Tamandua tetradactyla: one gene and its partner. The protein of the gene in region 1 interacts with the protein of each later gene in a biochemical or structural test. Links are inferred from orthologs where the notes say so. Each region holds a gene or a part of one and is shown in the gene's direction. Other genes may lie near its edges.

Region 1 (7,519 bases):
ATTCTGCCAATCTATGTCTTTTGATTGGGGAATTCAGTCCATTGACATTTAGTGTTATTACTGTTTGGATAATATTTTCCTCTAACATTTTGCCTTTTGTATTATATATATCATATCTGATTTTCCTTCTTTCTACACTCTTCTCCATACCTCTCTCTTCTGTCTTTTCGGTTCTGACTCTAGTGCTCCCTTTAGTATTTCTTGCAGAGCTGGTCTCTTGGTCACAAATTCTCTCAGTGACTTTTTGTCTGAGAATGTTTTAATTTCTCCCTCATTTTTGAAGGATAATTTTGCTGGATATAGGAGTCTTGGTTGGCAGTTTTTCTCTTTTAGTATTTTAAATATATCATCCCACTGTCTTCTAGCTTCCATGGTTTCTGCTGAGAAATCTACACAAAGTCTTATTGGGTTTCCCTTGTATGTAATGGATTGTTTTTCTCTTGCTGCTTTCAAGATCTTCTCTTTCTCTTTGACCTCTGACATTCTAACTAGTAAGTGTCTTGGAGAACGCCTATTTGGGTCTAATCTCTTTGGGGTGCGCTGCACTTCTTGGATCTGTAATTTTAGGTCTTTCATAAGAGTTGGGAAATTTTCAGTGATAATTTCTTCCATTAGTTTTTCTCCTCCTTTTCCCTTCTCTTCTCCTTCTGGGACACCCACAACACGTATATTTGTGCGGTTCATATTGTCCTTGAGTTCCCTGATACCCTGTTCAAATTTTTCTATTCTTTTCCCTATAGTTTCTGTTTCTTTTTGGAATTCAGATGTTCCATCCTCCAAATCACTAATTCTATCTTCTGTCTCTTTAAATCTATCATTGTAGCTATCCATTATTTTTTCTATGTTTGCTACTTTATCCTTCACTTCCATAAGTTCTGCGATTTGTTTTTTCAGTTTTTCTATTTCTTCTTTATGTTCAGCCCATGTCCTCTTCATGTCCTCCCTCAATTTATCGATTTCATTTTTGAAGAGGTTTTCCATTTCTGTTCGTATATTCAGCATTAGTTGTCTCAGCTCTTGTGTCTCATTTGAGCTATTGGTTTGTTCCTTTGACTGAGCCATATTCTCAATCTTTTGAGCGTGGACAGTTATCTTCTGCTGCTGGCGTCTGGGCATTTATTCAGATTTCTCTTGGTGTTGGACCCAGCAAGGTTGTAATATTTTTCTGTGAAATCTCTGGGTTCTGTTTTTCTTATCCTGCCCAGTAGGTGGCGCTCGTGGCACACGTTTGTCTGCGGGTCCCACCAGTAAAAGGTGCTGTGGGACCTTAAACTTTGGAAAACTATCGCCGTCCTGGGGGTTCGCTAGCCGAAGCGGCTTGAGCCGGCCCGGGGTCCGAACGCAGGGAGGGTTGCTGGTCGCTGCAGCCAGGGAAAGAGCCCGTCCAAATTTCCTAGTCGGCCCTGGGCAACAAGCGTGGCGGGAGGGCGCCAGCGGGAGCGGCCCGCCCGAGAGAGTGCACGTTCCCCGGGAGTCACGGGGTCACCGTTCTCCGCGGCCTGGGGGTTTCCGATCCAATTCTCTCAGTTGGTCCGGGGACTGCGCGTGGTGTGGGCGCCAGTCGCCTTGGTTTCAGGGGACCACCTCTCCAATTCTCCCAGCCGGCCCGGGAAGGGGGAAGGGAGTAACTCCGGCCGCTTGCCACCCCGCCCGGTAAGGCCCGCGCGCCTCGGCGATCTCACCCAAGCTGCTTCTCTCAGCCAGCCAGCCGTTCCAGGATGGGGTACGCTGTCTTTTTTATCTCTGTTGTGGCTTTGGGCGCTTTCTGTATCGTTTCTACTCCCCTAGTAGGTGTCCTGGAGAAGAAACTAAGATCCGCGCGTCTTACTAAGCCGCCATCTTCCAGGAAGTCTTAAGCAGATTTTTTTCATTTGACCTTGAAAGATTTCAGCAAGACTGAAAGCATCAGCATTAAAATATAAAATACTGCTGTGAATGTTTACTCTGGGGCTATCAAGTATAAACAATAAGTGAAAACTCAGTATATACTTTTTTGATTGTTTATGTACTTTAGGTAGTAGAAGCAACAAATGGTTTTGTCAAGTCGGTACTAAAAGGATTCAGAGCACTAGTTTCCATAAAAACCAACATCTACTTTGGGTGGTTCTAACCTAATAAATTTAAAGTCACTAAATAAAATTGATAATAAGTTAAAACCTAGTCCACACTTAAGTGCTTGCAAACATTTAAATAATCATTTAAAGTTCTTACTTTCTATTTTAGAAAATACTAAAAAATAAATAACAAAATTCATCTTGTTGTTATAAAATTATTAGAAAATGGCTGACACATGATTCTCTGTTCTACTATTAAGTAATTTATGTAATATAAAATATATTGTAAGTAACACATTAGGTGGTGGCAAAACTTCAAGCACTGATTTCTCAGGATTTGTGGACTGATATTCACTAGTTTTTTTTTAATGCAATTTAGTTGAGATATATTCACACACCATATAATCATCCAAAGTATACAATCAGTGGTTTACAGTATCAGCATATATTTGTGCATTCATCACAAGAGACTTTTGAACATTTTCATTGCTCCATATACAATAAAAATAATAATGCAAATAAAAGTAACACATCCCATATCCCCTATTATTTATTTATTTATTGTCTTTATTTTCTTACTCATCTGTCCATACACTAGATAAAAGGAGTCTCAGTCACAAAGTTTTATTAGTCACCTGGTCACACTGTGAAAGTTATATAGTTACACAACAACCTTCAAGAATCAAAGTTACTGGATTCCAGTTTAGCAATTTTAGGCATTTCTCTGTAGCTCCACCAATACACCAAAAACTGAAGCTGTTCACTTGTTCTTAAAGAAATCTTGTGTTTTTGTTACTTAGGTCCATCCTCAGCAACACCGGCTTCTTTTCGAAGTGTTTGATGAAAATCGCTTGGTAAGTGATACTGTGCTAGTGTGAAGTATGAAACAAGGGCATATTTCAGTAGAGCAGCAAGGGAAAGTGTGATGGGAATCTGTGCTTTGGGCGATGATGGATACAATTTTGGTTTTCCTTTTTTCTAGTGCTCCTCTCTACCTTTCCACCATCCTCCCAAGAGATAATAAGGAAAACTGGTTTCTGTCTTGCCTTTCCTCGTGCTCATTTATGTACCTGGGTCAATAGCCCAAGGCTCAGGGAGCCTTCTCCAGAGTATCCTGGGTTGTGCCTCCTCACTGCAGTGTCTTTTCCTGGGCTCACCTCTATCCAGCTTACTACATCCCATCTCCTTCCTCTTATTTCCACCCTTCTACAAAGGAGAACTATCCCGTTTCCACTCAGAAAGGAATAAGCAAATGAATTCCTCTAAAGGATTTCCAGTCTTACATTGGAAAAAAGCAAAATAAAACCTGATTTTTATAAAATGATTTTATGGTTCCTGATTTCCTAAAGACTATCTTGAAGTCCTATCCTTTTCCTTATTTTCTCTCTTAGAGATCCTATTTCTAATTCTCTTCTTAGCATCTTACATTTATATTTTAAATCTGTAAAATTTAAACATATAGGTATAAGAACACTGTTATTTGTTCAAGGCTTATGGTCTTATCACACACATATACCCAAAAAGAAATTAAAGTTTCATTCTTTTTTTTTACATGGGCAGGCACCAGGAATTGAACCCGGGTCTCCAGCATGGCAGGCAAGATTTCTGCCTGCTGCGCCACTGTGGCCCACAGTTTCATTCATTTTTAAGCTAACAAGGACAATGGATTTTGAGAGCATCTGTGTCTAGTGTTAAAATGCATAGCATATTTTTTCCCTCCAGAAACCATAACTGTGCTAGTAGCTGAAGATATCATAAATGAATCTATTAATTAGCATCATCATAAGCAAAGGTGCTGCCAAAAAGGACTGTTCATCACTGTGTACAATCTGATTTTCTAAGGTTGAGTGGCAGATACTGATGATTAGGTTACCAAATATGATCAGGTACCAAACTTTATGTTTTCTGTTTTTAATTCTAGTGTTCTTTTAATCATAAAATGTATAATATAAACAAAAAAGTATATGAAAGACAAATTTTTATTTTAAAGAATTTGATAAACAACTGTATACTCATTATTCAGCTTCGCAACTAGAACATTACCAAATACTTTGAAACCCTTCTTTGTCCCTTCCCAGTGGTATCTCGTTTCTTCTCCCATAAGTAACCACTATCCCTAATTTTATGTTTATAATTTAAGATATTTTTTATCATATATCCATTTTAAAAATTGGTTTCTTTTTGCTTGTTTTTGTATCTATAAAAATCGTATCATTCTGAATGCATTCTTTTGTGACTTGCTTTTTTGTTTAATGTATATTTTTTAGATTGATCCATGATGACACATTTTGACTGATGTATAGTATTCTATGATCTACAAAATCCATTGTCCTTGTTAGCTTAAAAATGAATGAAACTGTGGGCCACAGTGGCTCAGCAGGCAGAAATCTTGCCTGCCATGCTGGAGACCCGGGTTCGATTCCTGGTGCCTGCCCATGTAAAAAAAAAGAATGAAACTTTAATTTCTTTTTGGGTATATGTGTGTGATAAGACCATAATACCGTATCTACAAAATACCGTAATTTGTGTATTTATCCTCCTTAGTAGATATTTGGGTTGTTTCCAGTTTTTTGCTATTATCAATCAGTAAATGTTCTTGCTGTGTTTCCTTATGGACATGTACAAAGGCATCTCTAAGGTCCATATTTTGGAGTTGAATTGCTGAGTCATGGTATTAGTATCTTATTTCTCCTGTTATTACTGATACTGATATAAATTTCTCCCTGATTTTTGGGTGTATTGTTGGTCAACTGTTTATCTGTTGTCCTCAAAGAGGGAAAACTCGTCTTTTTCCTTTCCACTCTGGTTAGCTGTTTAGTCCTTTCTTACAGTAATTTTAATATGGTATGACTCTTTCATGGCTGAAATTGATGTTTATCATACATTGATTGGTGCATTAACATTCCTTAAGCATTTACTCTGTGCACAGTACTATATGGGATGTCATGATGAGTTGGAAGGAAAAAGTTTTGCCTCTAATATTGGCAATTGGATGTTTCTAGATTGATAAGTATGATACATAAAAATAAATTTGTTTACTAAAAACAACACCAAAAGATGCATTCATCAGGATATTATAAATCTCCACACCAAGGTCTCAGAAGTTTTATTGAAGTCCTGCCTCTGCTGTGGTATATTACCTTGTAACCCTGGACGAGTCATTTAATCCCTCTGAAAATATTTTCTTTTGTTTTAAAAATGAGGTTAACAATATTTGCCCTGCCTTTCTGATAAGTTTAATGTAAAGATAAAATTAGATGACTATGAAAGCATTCAGAAAATTAACCATCATGATATAAATATGAAGTGTTATTTAACATTCTTGGGTTCCTGCATTTATGGCTTTCCGACACCGTATTTTTTGTGTTTACTAAAGTATGTCATTTAGTGTATGCATTGTTAGATGCTTTGCTGTGCATTGGAATATAGCTGCTTTTCTCAAGAAACTCACTTTACTAGCAAAAGGGAGCAAAAGATCATTAGAACTGGGTCATGTGTGTTGTTGTTAGTCCTAGCAAGAAACTGAAGTGTGCAGATACTGAGATATTACAGAAACTGTAGCGGCTGGTAGAGTAATAGACTTGATTCTGTAACATTGAATGACCTATGCCATTGCACATGTCATCCTGTCTCTCCTGAAGCATTCACAACTAAATTAAGAACATATCCTTTACCTAGCAAGTTCTATTAGGAAGTGTAGGGAAAAGAATATAGGTATAATTTTAAACAGAAATAACTTTTTGTAATTTGGAACACTTTTGCAATATAACTGACCTTTGCTGTTAAGAAAGTGTAGGCTCGCTTTCCCATTTTTTCAGTCAACTTAGATCCTGAGGGTTGATTATTAACTATAGGACTGGTGTTCGGTGTTGGTGTAATATTGATGTTGGTAATGCTGGTGATGGAACGTTTTAGAATGATGTGTCTTTAAGAAAATTCTGCCCACCAATACAAAAGTTACTATTTCTGTGTCACCTAAGAGATATGTCTGCACATCCAGCCACTGAAGCTTTAGGAGACTCCTATATTCTGGGTGGAGATGCTGTGTTTCTCCGGTTTCGTGATCTTTGGCCTTAAGAATTCTAGTCAGTGGATAGAGTTATCCAGGGCCTGTATATACCATGTGAGCAATTGCATTGTTTTTGTTGTAGATAATCAATAACCAGAATCATTCAGAAGAGTTGTGAGTCTCCATCTAATCATAAGGCATTACTGGCATACCTTGTTCTATTCCACTTTGCTTTATTGTGCTTAGCAGATACTGCATTTTTATAAATTGAAGGTTTGTGGCAACTTCATGTTGAGCAAATCTATCGATATCATTTTTCAACTTCATGTGCTCACTTTGTGTCTCTGTCATATTTTAATTAATTTATGTACATTTTTAAAGACATAATGCTATTGCAGACTTAATAAACTACCATATGTATAAATGTAACTCTTACATGCACTGGAAAACCAAACATTTGCGACTCGCTTTATTGCAGTAGGCCGGAATCGAACTCACAATATCTCTGAGGAATGCCTGTATCTGTCTCACTCGATATGGAATTCCCACAGGACTTGTGTGGGTTTCTCACATGAGGGCTGCCACCACTCTCAGGTTCTTCCCTACTTGAGCTTAGAGTTGATGCCCCTCTTTTGGCATTTTATGGGCTAAGAGGCCATATTTTACCCCAGGTTCCACAGCAGTATCTGTAATCGGTATTACTGATTCTGTGTAATCCTAGACCTCGGCCAGCAGTACAAACTGTTCAGCCTCTCTAGGATTTAAATTCAGACTGGAGTGTTAGGAGTTGCATATATATTCTCTTACATTACCTTTCCTTTGCTGAATCCTTCTCTGCAAACTTTCCTTTCCTTCTTGTCAAGCTGCAGTGCTTTTTGCTAGGATCAATGTCTCTCACTTTCTCTCCCACACATACACACACACACACACACACACACAACCTGAAAGGAAGCGTCAGGCAGACAGCGTGCCTGGTATAGTTTAGTGCTTACTTTGTGTCCAGCATGAGTTCAGGAGGATTGGAAGAAATGTTTAGTTATGGTTCTTGAACACTGGAAGCTTAAAATCTAGTTAGGAGTCATGAAACTAATGCTTATAGTGAAGCTTATCAAAGAGAAAACGTTTATCCAACCAAATATATGATGCTTGTTATTTTCTATTAACAGAGATGTTTTGCTTATTAACTGGAAATTAGATTTGCATTGTTGATCCATCGCAAGTAATCCATTATTTGGGTTACCAGACCTCCATCTTAATCCAAAAAGGAAAGCTGTAGTCATGTGAAGGCAAGGTAAAAAGATTAGGACTCTTCCTTCTATATAAAAAAAAAAAGATGATAAGGAATAATTTACTGAAGTTTGTAAAATCATAAAGGAGATAGGTTTCATGAAACCAAATAACATAAACATTAGGTTTATAATTACTGTATAAATTCTCAAATATAATGCTATTTCTT
Region 2 (7,670 bases), on another chromosome or scaffold:
AATGTCTTTCCTGCTAAAATGTAGGCTCTTTTGGCTAATTGTTCATTGTTTTATCCACATAGCCGAGAATAATATAATAGTAAATGCTCAATAATTATTATGATGGCTTTAATATACCATTCAGGATATAAGTAGAATGAAAGTACTCACAAATGCTTGTCACTTTTTGTTTTTTAGATACTATTTTGTCTTAAACCCCTCATACCTTATTACAGTTGAGGTATGAGGTATGAGTCAAATTTGTGTTTGACTGCAAATTGCAGAAAACTTTATGTGGGGTTAAATCAAAGGATGTTCACTGCTATATGTCCAAAAGTAGGAATCCCAGTATTGGTTTGGCAGCTCAACGTTGTCATCAAGAACTTATGTCAACATCTTTCTTTCTAGCCATCAGAAACTCGATGCCTTTCAACCTCAGAAATGGTGTATCATGGCCCAAAGATAGTGACCACATTCTCATAGTTCAGTGTGCAAAGCAGAAGTGGTAACAAAAAACAGGGATGTCTCCTCACTCTTGTTAGAATCCCCAGAAATTGCTTCAGCCCCAACGCTGTTCATATGCCAATGTCAAGAACTGAGTCATGTGCCTCCTTCTGAACTAAGCATGGGCAGAGGGGAGAGTACTGGTATTGAAGACCAATCCCAACTCATTTCTGGGTCTTTTGGCAAGATGAAAAGGAAACAGCAGGATATGCAAGCAACATTGCAGCCACACTTCTGCCACATTAAATGCTCCACATTAAATCTCTTGTTTTCTCAGAACCCTCAAGTTCTTAAGAAGTCTGTCTTTTCCCTATGTTTTAATCATCTATCCTTCTCTCTCGGAAATTTTTTCTTCTTAAAATTATTCTTTTAAAACATTTAAGTGGTTTCTTTCACTGACTGGCTTGTATGCTCAATTTGTGTTGTAATTATTTTTGTCTTCAAAATCACTGAAACTTACCACATTTTCAAAAGCGGAACAAGTTTACCCTGCTCCTTTCTTTCCACTGTTATATTTCTCAACAGTATTAAGAAAATATCTTCTGCTCTCTTTACAATTTCCAGCAGCATTTCACAGGCGTTAAATGTACTTGACTTGTCCTTCCCCTTTATGGATAGTCAGAGACATGCACACTTCAATAAAAGTGATAGGAATCAAGGTTTTATTAGCCAGGAAGTAATGGTCACATTACACACATACTGTACAACTTGTTTATACTAAATTATTTCCATATTTGCTCCTTGCCAGCATCAGGAAGTCCCAGAACACAGTGTATTTCCCACATAATTCCACCTTTTCTAACATATTTCACAGAAGGAAAGAAAGGAGCTGGGTTTCCATGGTAACACAAATGTGACAATTGCTGGTATTTGGGCAGAGGTGAGTGCTCTTTCACACTCAGTGGGAGAGGAGAAATGAAGTTGTTTTTTTGTTTGTTTGTTTTTGTTTTGCCCCTTGGCAATTCACTTCAGAAACTGAAGAGACCCTGCAGTATCAGTGTACAGTGTTAAGTTTTCACTATTACATAGATTTACAACTCTTAGGGAAATTTCAATTTTGTCTTCTCTCAATTATATGCTATCTTTCTCACAAACAATGAATGAAAATGTTTTTATTTCTAAAATCACCCTCAGAATAGATTATATTGGCATAACAATGAACATAATTAAGAGAACAGGAGATAGACACTCATCTCCCACCCATATCAGCAAAATTCTCTAAACACCCTTTCAGCAGCTAACCCTTCAACCAACATTGCACATACAGTCACAAATCAGTATCATTATCCACAGCAGAACAGGTGAGAAAATATGCTGAAAATATATCTGTCATTTTCTTTCATCTCTCAGTGGTTAAAAATCTACCTCCATGACACTGAGAGTGAAATTGAGGTTAGTCTATTTGAGAAACAAATAAACTGTGACTATCCAAAAACCACAACCGTTACACATCTCCTTTTCAAGAAAATCAGCACTGATGAATGATCAGGAGAAATAACCAGGGAAATGCCAAAAAAAAAAAAAAAAAAAAAAGCTCTCCTACTCTCTGTTGTGCGAAGTGGAAAAATAGGGAACCTAGTCACTAACTTTTGTGACAACTTCTATCTGATGAGCTCCAATCCAGAAATATCCAACTCTCTGGAAACCTAGGAGTAATGAATATGTTTGTTTGCTGTGGTTACATTCTGAACCCACAATCCCAATGCAAATTTCTCAAGCCACCGAACCTCTTTTTCTTGCACAGTGAATGGATTTTCGGTTCCACCGTAATACAAAGTTTTACATGGGTTGTAATTATCTATACAAAGAAACTTCGATGCTTTTTGACCCTATTTTTGCTGATTGTGATGGCTCAGATATAAACTCATATCTTGATGCCATGTAATCAAGAAATAATGACTGAGTTACGCTTTATTGTACATTACTTATTCGAAAGCACACCTGCCCTTAATTGTTTTAAACAAAAACTTGGTGTGTGATTCTATAGCAAGATAATGCAAAAATACAAATTATCCATTCCAAACAATAGAGTAGTAGGGCAGTAGGAGGCTGCGAAATCAAGATACATCTTTCTGGTAGTTTATTAATTGACAAAATGTGGTAAGAGAACGTCTGATTTTTAGAGACGCTCGGACCAAAATATTTATATGATGACCTTGTAGGGGAGAGAAATCGGTGGAGAGATCTGCCAGATCAAACATTAGAATTATAGAATTCATTATTCTCAAGAGATGTGAGAGACAGTAATGCGTAAGTGTAGATTAGTTCGAGAAAGACATAATTTAAGGAAGGGAAACCCAATAGCAAGTTATACAAAAATAATCCAAGAATGTTTGGGGATTTAACTCCTTCTAAATTTGAAGTCATGGCTAGGGCAGGGAGTGTAAATAAGCTTTAATGCTAGAGACAGGAAGTATTACACAGATGTTCTAAAAGGTACGTATAGAGCACCAATGTAACTGCTTCGTTATGCCTTCTTAATAACCCGAAAATTTCTCACCCTAAAGACAAAAGTCTGTTTTCCCGACCCATCCCACATCCCTGAGAACCATTTCCATGCCCAGCATTTAAGCAGACTGCCACCGAGGCTATGTTAAAAGCGGAATTCACCCCTCTCGCCTGCAACAAACCTCATTCCTTTGCCAGAATGAGGCACGGCGCCCAGCCCCTGGATCTTTGACCACTCCCAAACCACACCAGCCCCAAGCCTTGTCTCCATACTACCGGCCCTCGGTGGTTAATGTGTCGCTTGTTCTGGTTGGCGCAATCCAAGCCCAGGTCACTCAGCAGTTCACTACTATTGGTTGGCAGACAGTGCGCAGGAGCAAACGCCCAGCCCGGCGAGACTTCGAGGGGTGGGTTGGCTGACGCCGAGACGAATGTTTTTCCCCCATTGGCTGAAGAAGGTCCATCACATGGTATCAGGCAGCTCTCTATTGGCTGTGAGCGGTACCATGGGTCCTAGAGACGTGGTCTGGTTGGCTGGAATGAATCCAGCCTCCTAGATGTTCCAGCTGGCTGTTGCTAAGACGTATCCCTGGTCCTCCTGGCTATTGCACGGGGTTCCGCTCTCCAGGTTTTTCAGACGCCGGTAGCTGACAGGGCGTGGGAAGAGCTCGACTTCAGTCCCGCACCATGAAAGGGCGGGACTAGAGGGAAGGTGGGTGGAGCACGCGACGACGTCACCGGGCGTGGACCCGGCTTCGGTGGTGCCTAGCGGCGGCTGATTAGCCCATCGGGGAGTGGATTGAAGATACTTGTCACCTATACCTCAGTGTACTTACGCTTAAAACAAGGCTTCTATTCGTTATGTTTATACAACCTCAGGCAGAAGGCTGGAGGTTCCTGTCACGTAAAACAAAGCGCCATCTCGTTATGCTTATACAATATAAAGTCAAAGACAGTGACAGAGTGATGTCAGGCAAAGCCCCTCAACCAAAGGGCTCCTCAGACTCTTGCCCATCTCGTCCTGTCACTTTCCTGCCTCAAGGTAAAGCCTCGAAGATGGTATGGCTCTTCCAATATCTTGTCTCCCCAGTAATTTGAGAGTGGGATTCTCTGGTTGACGCTTTTTCTGTCTCAGGCAGACGGACTGGGCATGCTCAGTACACAGGCCTTGGTGTTCGATGGGGTGCCGTGGTAGGGTGTTGCTGAGTGGCCTGGGTGGTGGTTTGCTTAGCCGCGGGCAGAAGCTTCCACGCAGCCCAGAGCCTCCCCGGAGGCGCGAGGCTGGTCGCCTAGACGACTGAGGGGAGGAGGCGGGGATTTGCGGCCCGGCCCCGCCCCGCCCTGGACTGCCGGGCCCCGCCCCCGGTAGGCGCTGCGGCTGGGGCTCGGGCGCGCGCTCTAGCGCCTGGGGAGGCGGCGGCGGCGGCGGCGGGCGGGGAGCTGGGCGTGGAGGCGCGAGGGGCGGGGCGGGCGGCACTGCGGGCCCGCGGTTCGGCAGCTCCCGTGGCTCCTGCTCTCAGCTCGCCCTCTGTTCCTCCCGGCGCCCGCGGGGTCGCGTTGCCGTCCGGCTTGGCCCATGCCCAGGGCCGCCGCTCCCTCAGCTGCCGCCGCCGCCGCCGCCGCCGCCGCCGCCGCCCGGGGAACCGCCGCGGCCGTGAGGTGGGGGCGGCCGTGGGAGGCGGCGGGGCCAGCCGCCGGGGCAGGGTCCGGGGGTGCAGCGCGGCGGGCGTAGGTCTATGTCGCGGGCGGCGGCGGCGGTGGCAGCAATAGCAGCGGCAGCAGAGAGACGATGCGCGAGTACAAAGTGGTGGTGCTGGGCTCGGGCGGGGTAGGCAAATCCGCCCTGACCGTGCAGTTCGTGACCGGCACCTTCATCGAGAAATACGACCCCACCATCGAGGACTTCTACCGCAAGGAGATCGAGGTGGACTCGTCGCCGTCGGTGCTGGAGATCCTGGACACGGCGGGCACCGAGCAGTTCGCGTCCATGCGGGACCTGTACATCAAGAACGGCCAGGGCTTCATCCTCGTCTACAGCCTCGTCAACCAGCAGAGCTTCCAGGACATCAAGCCCATGCGGGACCAGATCATCCGAGTGAAGCGGTGAGTGAGCCGGGCGGGCGCGGCCGCGGGAGCCCCTTCTGAGCCGAGCTGGGGTCCCGCCCGGGCGGCCCCCAAAGGGTCACGGGAGGCTTCGCAGCTGGACTCGCGAGTCATTGTCCCACGGTCAGAAATCCCCCGCGTGTGTCCATGTGTAGGGGGAGCTGTCTAGGGAGATGGCTCTGAGGTTTTATGCGTTATTGTCATCATTATTATTTTGCATCTCAAATTTTAGCGCTTTGTTTCAGAACTTAAAATTGGCCATCCGGTTAACCCAAGGCACAGCTCTTTGTCTCTTGAATAAGGTTAGTAGCGCTCGTACAGAACATCAAGGGAAACAAAGTTTAAAACTTGCAGGGGGAAAAGAGGTGGGTAGGTTTGTGCTGGAAAGAGGGAAGCTGTACAGGATAGGCGAGACATTTTCAAACTGAACCACAAGAAGTCTACTTTTGCAATATTTGACAGCAGGAATTGCACATACATATCTGTAAAAATGTCAAGTGAAGAGCAAAGAGACCTTTCTCATCTCATAATAGGTGTAATGGTGCAAAAGCCTTTTAGAGAATGAACTCTAATTTAGTGGCAAACTTTAAAGACAGATTTACGTATTATTTGAAGACATAACGATTCAGTGGAATTGGAAGAGTTCTAGCATACAGCTGCACAAGTATGCTATTTACTAGTTAAAAGGAATGCAGTTTAACTGTTTAGGGAAATGGTTTTTTATTCCTTTTTTTTTTTTTTTAATCTAGCTGACTTCCCCCCTCAAAAAAAAAAAAGTCTTGCCTGGAAATGAAATACAAGCTGCTTCTTCACATGTGTGACCCAAGTATTAGCTAATTTAAAAGTTAAGGCAAATAAGGCCTTTCTTAATAAAAACACTTTTCTGAAGTATGCATTTTGGAAATATGGCTATTAGCTTAAATGGTTGAAACTGCTGGGTTTCTCTAAAGTTGATTGAATACTTTTTTTTCCCTATAATTTTAAGCCTTTGAAATGTAATATCTTCAGAGTTTTAGCAGTTTTTTTCTAGTTTCTATTTAATTCACATTACTGCTTTCTCTGGTTGTTATTACTTCTTCTTTGCTGGTAATTTTGCAGATTTAGTGTCACTTTTTTTCCCTACCTCATCTACTGTAGCCATAAATTTGAAGAGGTACAGTGAAAAGACAGCTTTAAGTTTACCATAAACACAATCTTATTATAAACCTATTTGAATCTACTAATTTTTAAAAAGTAATGACCGAGTCATGTGTACTCAGGGGATGCTCAAAAATACTTTCCTGATGGCGGTTTTTTAATGCAACATATGAGGTCCAAGGAGAGGCCCTCTCCCCCTGGCTCCCTTAACTGATTGGGTATATACTTTAATAGCTAAACTAAAATTTTGTATGTTATTTCTTGAGTTAAATTTACAGCAAGAATAAAGTAAATATTTTCACGCCCTCTTGCTCTTTTAAGATCTATTAATTTGATTAGCTTTTTACTTCAACAGTCTTACTTACTTTTTATTTCTACAGTCTTATTTACTTAAATTGTTTGTTGATGGTTAACAGATGGCAATTTTGGTATTAAACTGAGTATGTATATGACATTTAAGGGTCTGCATTCAAGAGACTCAAATGCTAAATTTCTCTCTACCCCCAACATCACTGAATTAAAAAAAAAATCTACAGAACATGGTAGTCTAATACATTGCCACATGACAGTCTTTAGCCAAATACATACATCAAATAATAATATAAATAAATGCCCCAACTGCCCCATCCTTCACATTTAAATATAAACATAAGGATGCGTACATACATTCAAAAAGTCACATACTCAGGGTAAACTTCGTGACACAAGCCTAGGGGAGAGAATATGGTATGCAAGATATCATTGGATAGTATAGTTCACAAAATTTTGTAGTTTATTATCTTTAGTACAAATTACTTTTCTCTGTATATAATAAATGTTAGTTTAAAACTGGTGTTCTAGAACATTTTCTTGCTTTGTGGCCCAGGGAAAACAAAATTAGAGTAAAATCCTACTTATCTGGATGTTGTTTTACCCATTCGTTTCAGTTTGTAACTTAAAAAGACAATGACCAGCCAAAATAGTGTTCGTAAACTCTTTTCACTGGAATTCAACTATTTTATCCCCAATACTTGGACCCTTACATCTATGACCTGTTATTTTATCCTACCCTAACCTCATCATCTGGCTTCCCAACCTATATAGCATATTATAAATAAATTAAAATTGAAAGGGAGATAGGATCTATGTTTATTATATGCAATTTAATATACATGTATAATGCATATATTATGTTAAAGCAGGGACTCAATGTACTTGTTCTCTGATTCTTCCTACCACTTTAAGTGAATAAAACATGGTTTTCAAGTAAATGCATTTTCAGCTGCTTTGGGGACCAATTTATAAATTAACCAGATATTGTTGGAGTTATCCAATAATTATTCTCTCCCCTCTGCCTCTTGTGTGTCTGGTAGCTGCTTTAAATATAATATACACATGTAAAGTTGTTTTGTGAAATTTGGTATGTCCATAATGCAGGATTAACTGAAGTGCAGAGAGATTTGGTATCTTAGTCAAGACCATTCAGTGGTAGAGAAGAGGTTTAAATCTGTGTGGAACAG

The links.
Region 2: the proteins of NEDD4 (region 1) and RAP2A form a complex in vitro, tested with the Homo sapiens proteins (2 studies listed by BioGRID). The link is inferred for Tamandua tetradactyla from reciprocal best matches to the Homo sapiens genes NEDD4 and RAP2A.

What each region holds. Positions count from the first base shown.
Region 1 is NC_135340.1:71,135,257-71,142,775, reverse strand, and holds the start of NEDD4 (E3 ubiquitin-protein ligase NEDD4), read left to right. Parts: upstream 1-4,512; 5' UTR 4,513-7,519. UniProt on the Homo sapiens protein: E3 ubiquitin-protein ligase which accepts ubiquitin from an E2 ubiquitin-conjugating enzyme in the form of a thioester and then directly transfers the ubiquitin to targeted substrates. Specifically ubiquitinates 'Lys-63' in target proteins.
Region 2 is NC_135330.1:166,206,617-166,214,286, forward strand, and holds the start of RAP2A (ras-related protein Rap-2a), read left to right. Parts: upstream 1-4,660; 5' UTR 4,661-4,720; coding exon 4,721-5,034; intron 5,035-5,266; coding exon of another isoform or gene 5,267-5,462; exon of another isoform or gene 5,463-5,684; intron 5,685-7,670. UniProt on the Homo sapiens protein: Small GTP-binding protein which cycles between a GDP-bound inactive and a GTP-bound active form. In its active form interacts with and regulates several effectors including MAP4K4, MINK1 and TNIK.